Linked DNA regions of Canis lupus familiaris. Each later gene encodes a partner of the first gene's protein in a complex. Links are inferred from orthologs where the notes say so. Each region holds a gene or a part of one and is shown in the gene's direction. Other genes may lie near its edges. The genes, in order: SIRT3 and ACSS1.

Region 1 (3,811 bases):
CCTGAATCCACATTAGCAGGGTTTCCCTTTATTAATTTTCATAATGTCCAGCACCATTTGTTGAAGAGATGAGATTTGGTCCTTTGTCAAAGAAGAGTTGACTGTGTTTGTGTGAGGGTACTTCCAGCCTCTCTGTTCTGTTCCCCTGATCTATTCTTCTGCTCCCTACAATAGAGCCACAGTCCTGATTCCTGTGGCTTTTTATAATAAGTCTTGAAGTCAGATAGTGTCAGTCTTGTTCTTTGCCTCAATATTGTGTTGGCTATTCTGGTCTTTTGCTTTCCATATAAACTTTAGAATCAGTTTGTATCTGTTCTCTGCTTATTTTTAAATCTTTTCTCTTTGTCTTTGGAGTTTTAGAGTTTTACACTGTTACTGGGGTAACTCTCCATATGGATTTCCTTTTGTTTACTTATTCTGCTTAAAATTTATAGGGCTTTCTGAATCTGTGGTTTTCATCATTAGTGGAAAAATCCCTGGCTGTTGCCTCTCAGATGTCGATTGCATCTCCCACTCCCTCACCTCCCTTGTGGAGCTCTACTTAAACTCCCATGAGACCTCACGCTCCCACCCATGGCTCTTCTGTGTGTTCCATCTTGCTTCTCTGTGCTGTGTTCTGAATAATGTCTTTTGATCTATTTTCCAGTTTACCAACCTTCTATTCTGTTGTATAAAATAAGGTTCTTCCACTAAGTGCTAATTTTTGTTACTGTTTTTTGTTTGGAAAAGGTTTAATGAGATGTGAAACCTCAACCAGCTGTGGGCTCATTTCCAGATCTGAATTACTTGCCCCATTTTTTTCTTCCTAATTTTTATTTAAATTTAGTTAGTTAACATATATCACAGTATCAGTTTCAGGAGTACAACTTTGTGATTTATCACCTATATACAACACCCAGTGCTCATCACAATAATGCCTTCCTAATTTTTGTTACTTTTATTTCTAGAAGTTCTCTTTGGTTCTTTTTCAAATCCACTACATTATTTTTTATAGTTTTCTATCCCCAACAGATACTTCAAACCCTTTTTTTAAAAAAAAAGTTAAACACAAAATGGCCTTAATGTGTCTCTAATAGTATCTGAAGTCTCTGAGTAGTGTCTCCTTGGTCTGTTGTGTCTGCTGGTTCTGGCTGGGCTCAGCTTGCTAAGACAGGGCCAGGAAGGTTTGTCTTAGGAAGCTGTTGTCCTCGTTCTTAGGCTCCTTCCTTTGACACCCAGCCCAGCACATGAACACAGGCATCTTAGGGCAGAGCAGTGATTTGCGTCTACCTCACCTTGGCCTGCAAGCTAGTGGTCTGTGGCAACACTGCTTACAGCTCCTGCTTGAATGCCTTCCAGGTCTAGGGTGATGTCATGATCACTTCAATCAGGTACAAACTTTATACCAGCTTTCTCATTGAATCATGTTTAGTGTAGGCCAAATGCCTGCAGAGTACCTCCTGAGGACTGTGTCACATACTATTTCCTTAGCATCTGAATGTCTCTGATAAGCCCCTGAAGGGCACAGCCTGGCGTTACATGTGCTAGATATCATGGGCTCTTCAGGATGCACCTTCAAATACTCCAGTGTGTCCCCAGTTTCAGGGAGCCATTGAAACAAAATTGGCAAAATGTCAATAAATGCCAAATCTGGGTTCATTATTCAGCTGTTATGAATGTTTGAAAATTTCTTAGTAAAAGCAGTCTTTTTAAAAAGTTTTATTTAAATTAGGTAACGTACAGTGTTACATTAGTTTCAGGTGTACGATCTAGTGACTCACCTCCATACGTCGCCTGGTGCTCCTCACAGCAAGTGCACTCCCCACCCCGCCCCCTCCCGTCTGGCAGCCTGAGTATGTCGTGACATTGTCCTTGGCCTGTTGTCTATGTGTGTTGCACAGGCCGACGTGAGCATGGACAAGATCCCCCGCTGCCCAGTGTGCACTGGCGTTTTGAAGCCTGACATCGTGTTCTTTGGGGAGACACTGCCTCAGAGGTTCCTGCTGCATGTACTTGATTTCCCAATGGCAGATATGCTGCTCATCCTCGGGACCTCCCTGGAGGTTTGTCAGCAGGTCCAGTGGTGGACTGAGTGTGCAGGGGCAGGGGAGGCTATAAGGACAGGGCCGAGGAGGTGAGGCTGCTGGGGGTGGCACCAGCTGCTCTTGGAGCCTTCACATCTGGCGTCCTAGCTTCGGAAGATGAGTAGGTTCAACTGGTCGGGAAGCAGAGGTATTCCTGGCCAAGGGATTGGCAGTCTGGGCAGAATGGGGAAGAGGGAGGGTGCTCAGCTTTGGAGGCACCATCAGCATGGGTGGGGCACGGTGTGTAAGGGAAGGGAGGAAGGAGGGACCTGGAGAGTAGGGCAGGACAGACTTACCAGGCCACATCACAGAGGCTGGTTTTGTGCTAGAAGCGGTAGACTTGAAGTGGTTGAGCCAGGGGCTTAGCCAGTGCTCAAGGTCCCAGAACCTGCTGGGGAGTGGGGATTGAAGGAGATGCCTGGGAGGTGGGTTCTCATGAAGGTGAGGCTGTGGGCCCGGTCAGATCATCTGACCATGAGAGAGGGCAAAGAGAAGAACGGCTGGACTTGGGGACAGGAGATGGAGTGGTCTGGTTGTGTCTGTGGGCACTCAGGCCTTTTTTTGGTAACAAGGTATTTGGAGGGAGGGTTCCGAGCTCAGTTCTGTACAATTGTGTTTGAGGTACCTAGGACACACCTGTGGACACATTCTAGAAGCTGGTCTACCTCTAGATCTGAAGCTCAGGATGTGACAAGAGCAACAAACACGACCCTGTGATGAGCTCTGCCTGGTTGGGTGCTGGTGCCGAGGAGCAGAAGCGCCAGAAAGGCCTGTACTCTGTGGCCTGTGTGGTTGGCCACAGAGGCCTAGAGTTAGGTGCATTCATCCAGCAAATGCGCCCGCTGTGTGCCGGGCCCTGTTGTAGGGCCTTGGACAGACAATACGATGTTGCAAGCAAGTGACACAGTGTTAGGTGCTGACACATGGACAGGAAGGCTGGGAAGGGTTAGGAACTGATTGGGACATCAGCTTGGTTTCCATGACTGTCGGAAGGGGACCCCGGAGCTGAGGGCAGAAGGGGATGCACGTGTCAGCTGAGGGTGTCTGGCAGCAGGCACTGCGCAGTGGCCACAGCCACATGGAGTGAGCGAACAGAGGGCAACAGTGACAGGGTCTGACCTCCTGACCCCGCAGGTGTTGTGGCGGGGAGAGCTGCTGGAGACCCTGCAGGTGGTGGTCCGGGTGGCGATGGCGGGTGGCCAGGTAACGCCGCAGAGGGCAGTGTTCATACATCACATAGATCGAGGGCAAAGGAAGGAATCCCTCCACCCCCTCCAGCACTACGAGTGTTATGCGGTGTCCTCACAGCTTCTCTGCTGCACCTTGTGGTGACCTTTAACCAGAGGTGGGGCAGCACCATGCATAGAGACCAACTACCTTGTTAGCGCCCAGTGTCCCTGCTGGGACCCCCCAATCAGAGTGCTTGTCTCTAGCACCGAGTAATCTGCAGTATTGCTCCAACTTCATCTCATATGCTGTGTGGAAGAAATACTCAGCAATAAACTTGATTATTAATTGCCCCTCCAGATCCCACTGAGTTGTGACATAATAATTGTATATAAACCAAATGATGTTTTCTAAAATCTGAAATATTCTGAATTCTGGAACACACCTAGCCCCCAGAGTTTTAAGATAAGGGATGATGGATGAATAAGCAAATTTCTATTGATGGGCAACAAAAATAAAGTATATAGATTTTATATTAAAAATAATGATGTAGTGAATAACCAAGTGTACACATGTTCACA
Region 2 (3,811 bases), on another chromosome or scaffold:
ATTCTGAGGGGCTTGGGGGATGGGTGCAAAGAATGGCCCCCACGGATGTCCAAACCCTAATCCCCCCAAATCTGGGACTGTGTTACCTTACACAGCAAAAGGGCTTGGTGAATGGGATGAGCCCTAAAATGGGGGAGATTATCCAGGTGAGCCCTGGATATCTAATTATGTAAGCCCTGGAAATCAAAGAACTTTGGCTGGATGCAGAGGACATGTGGCAGAATGAGAGATCAGAGCATGAGAAGGACTTGATCTGCCTTTACTGGCTTTGATGATAAAGGGGGTCACAAGCTAGGGGATGTAGGTGGCTCTAAAGGCTGAGAATGACCCTTGGCTAACAGCAAGGGAAATGAGGAAATGGGGACTTTAGTCCTAAAGTAATATGGAGCTGAGTTCTGCCAACCCTGAATAGCTCGGAAGCAGACTCTTCTCCAGAGCCTCCAGATAAGAGCTCTGCTCTCTCACATCTTGATTTTAAACATGAAACTCCAAGAAAAGAACCCTACCAAACTCACCTGGACTAGAGAACTGTGCACTAAAATATGGGGTTTTCGAGATCCTAAGTTTGTGGTAATTGGCTATGGGAGCAATAAATGAAGGCAGATGCTAATACCAGCTCAAAAACCAGGTTGGTAAAATCAGAGCTTCCCAGATAAAGTGTCATGCTGATCTGGCCTGATGCTGTGCACACACCCTGTACCCATCACCCAGCTTCAGGGAGAACCACAGAGTGAGACATGCTTCCAAGCACCTCCTAGGAACTAGGTATATACACAGAGGTTCCTGCCCTGGACAACTGCTTGGGTGGAAAGCCTCAGACAAATGAGTGCCAAAAGCTAGGCATGTGCCATGGGAAGCTGCAGAGGGCTATAGTCCACAGAATGCAGTTCTAACACGCAGGATGGGCTGGGGCCACTGCTTTCTCCTGGAGGGTCCTGAGCTTTCTTTGTCTGTCATCCCCTTGAGGCTGGGCTCTTTCTACCTGATGAATCATCTCCCTTCCTGCCCCATAGGGAGTTTACCTGGTCCAGTGTCAGCACCTGGGATATAGGCCACGATGGTCTCGGACAGGCTGCCCAGCTGATTTCGTTTCCCCAGGGTGACCGATGGCCAAGGCTGAGGAGCAGAGTGTACAGCTGAGGTCCCCTGGCATACAGAGCTCGATGACACTGCCCTGGGTGCTCCAAGCACTCTAGAGTACGCCTCTGACCCTTAGATGACCCAGCCAAGGGCTGAGAGAATTCTTAGGTGGCCTTTGAGGGCATGTCCTCTCTAGGTCCCTTGGGATGAAGAAAGAATATGTTGCTAGAGGGTACTTTTCCAACTGAAAAGCTGAAGGAGATGGGTGCCTCAGTCAGGGCTCCCACAGAAGCAGACCCTGAAATGAAAGGTCAGGGGTAGCCAGTTCATTTGGGAGGTAGTCCTGGGAACTGCTAGAGGGTGGTGGGGAGTGGGGCTGGGCAAGGGGAATCCACCAGACCAGCTTCCACAGATGGTTCCTGGAGCTCAGTTCTCCAGGGAACCCTGGGGGTGATGGAGACACATGTGTCAGGATAGGCTCCTGGGGTGGGGGGAGTGGGGTTATTTACATTCCAACCCTTGACTCATTGTGGAGGGCTGCTGGGGCTGGGCATTCCATTGGCACTTCTGCCTGTGACTTTGGAAGAAGTCCTTGGTGAAGAGTGATAAAAGCTCTGAGGCTGTGTGTGGAGCCCTGCCAGTCACTACTGTACCTGGGTGTTTGTTCCGGGCTCCTCCTTATGGGCCAGTTATAGAACAGTCCACTGCAGCCTTGATTCCTCTGGGTCATCCCAGGTTGGGGCACAATATGGAGGGTCATTCCTTTTTATTTTTATTTTTTTTAAGATTTAATTTATTCATCACACACACACACACACACACACACACACACACAGAGGCAGAGACACACACAGGGCAGAGACAGACCGAGGGAGAAGCAGGCTTCCTGCGGGGAGTCCGACGCAGGACTCGATCCCAGGACCCTGGGATCACCACCTGAACTGAAGGCAGACACTGAAGTGCTGAGCCACCCAGGCATCCCGTGGAGGGTCCTTCCTTTGCCTATGGTTCTGAAGCCCAGTTTGCCTCTGTACTCAGTTCCCTGCTCAGGTCCTCACCGTCAGTTAGCTGTGGGAGCTTGGGCCTCCCCAGCCTTGTCCTGGGCCTGGCGAAGCCTTGCCTGGTCATTGCAGAGCAGGTGTGGACCTGCAGGGCCTTCTGCTAAAGGCGAGGGTGGGGGCTTGTCACTCCTGGTACCCCCTGGGGGTGTGGCCTCTGTTTTCTGGACACTGAAGCTTCTTGACCCTGCACAGGGCTGGGGCACATGGGACATGTTGGGGCTTGGTCTCAGCATCTTGGTGATGCTCTGCCACCACGGTGGCTGTGGCCAAGGACGGTGTGATGGCCTCTCCTCTGGGAAAGTGCCCAGGGCAGATGTCAGCATACCTTTTTGTCTCCATTAGCCAAGTGCAAGGTGGTCATCACCTTCAACCAAGGACTCCGGGGAGGGCGCGTGGTGGAGCTGAAGAAGATCGTGGATGAAGCCGTGAAGCACTGCCCGACCGTCCAGCATGTCCTGGTGGCTCACAGGACGGACAACAAGGTCCACATGGGGCATCTGGACATCCCTCTCGAGCAGGTGGGTTTGCCTCACTTTGTACAGTTGGAGGAGGAGAGGTAATTATTGGGTTAACTGGGTCTGAGTTTTGTCAGACTGTGGTCCTCAACCTGGGTCCCCTAGAGGCGCTCAGGGTTCCCTAGTGGTAACTGATGGACTTACATCGTGGTTGGGAAGGTGGAACTCAAATACCACAAACATACTGAGACACTTAATATAACAGAAATGATCAGATCCTTCCTTTTATTTTGTGCTCTCTCTGCATCTGGAGTTGAACTAGGGTAGGGTAGAGAAGGTGAACTAAACCCAGTCTGCCAGGTCCTGTAGCGGCCAGGTAAGAGGGGTTCTCAGAAAGGGTAAATGGGGGCAGAGGGTAACTGCCTTGGATGGGGCCGTTTATGTCTTCCCCCTTACAGGAGATGGCCAAGGAGGATCCTGTGTGTGCCCCAGAGAGCATGGGCAGTGAGGACATGCTTTTCTTGCTGTACACTTCAGGGAGCACTGGGACGCCCAAGGGACTCGTCCACACCCAGGCGGGCTACCTGCTGTATGCTGCCCTAACACACAAGGTATGCTCCTTGGTGTGTTGGGGTGACAGGTGCTGTGCCTCTGTGCAGGGCTCTGAGTAGGGAGCCAGAGGCTGGATGAGGCTAGAACTCCTATTATGACCTGGTGCCCGTCTGTGTGAGGGGCTAATGCATCTCCTAATGCTGTGAGTTGTGGCACTGACACAGTGAGTAAGTTGGTGTGGGGACTGAGTTTCTGTGCTCATCTAGGTTTCTGGTCTGTAGCTCACTGCTGGCCTTTAGCCCCTCGGCACTGGTATCTCCTCTGAAGGACTTGAGCCCTTCCCCAGGTTGGATGCACAACCTGGTACAGCTGCATTGTGACACTCCAGGGCCCAGGAGCTTAGGCCTTCCTGGCCCCCTTCCTCCGTGAAAAATGTTACGATTATAATTTACAACTCAATTGTGTAGAGATGGATAGGTTGCTTTTACATGTTAAAATGCTTACTGCTACTTAAAAGATCTTTTTTTCCTCTCTTGGTATTAAAAAAAAAGAAAGTAAAACAGTTTGGTACACCCCCACAGGTAATGTGGGGTTTGTTCATTAGGGCCACATTTTAAAAGTAAAATTAGAAAAATATTTATTTTTCTAAGGAAACTTAAGTTC

What was found.
Region 2: the proteins of SIRT3 (region 1) and ACSS1 are in contact, whole or in part, in a crystal structure (PDB 3GLT), measured with the Homo sapiens proteins. The link is inferred for Canis lupus familiaris from reciprocal best matches to the Homo sapiens genes SIRT3 and ACSS1. Residues at the interface, in NP_036371.1 of Homo sapiens: Gly145, Ala146, Gly147, Thr150, Pro151, Asp156, Phe157, Arg158, Ser159, Glu177, Phe180, Gln228, Asn229, Ile230, His248, Ile291, Val292, Phe293, Phe294, Gly295, Glu296, Pro297, Leu298, Gly319, Thr320, Ser321, Leu322, Glu323, Val324, Glu325; in NP_115890.2 of Homo sapiens: Ser640, Gly641, Lys642, Val643, Met644, Arg645.

The regions. Positions count from the first base shown.
Region 1 is NC_049239.1:25,724,705-25,728,515, reverse strand, and holds part of SIRT3 (NAD-dependent protein deacetylase sirtuin-3, mitochondrial), read left to right. Parts: intron 1-1,880; coding exon 1,881-2,042; intron 2,043-2,692; coding exon of another isoform or gene 2,693-2,716; exon of another isoform or gene 2,717-3,811.
Region 2 is NC_049244.1:1,388,000-1,391,810, reverse strand, and holds part of ACSS1 (acetyl-coenzyme A synthetase 2-like, mitochondrial), read left to right. Parts: intron 1-2,483; coding exon 2,484-2,659; intron 2,660-3,054; coding exon 3,055-3,207; intron 3,208-3,811. UniProt on the Homo sapiens protein: Catalyzes the synthesis of acetyl-CoA from short-chain fatty acids. Acetate is the preferred substrate. Can also utilize propionate with a much lower affinity. Provides acetyl-CoA that is utilized mainly for oxidation under ketogenic conditions.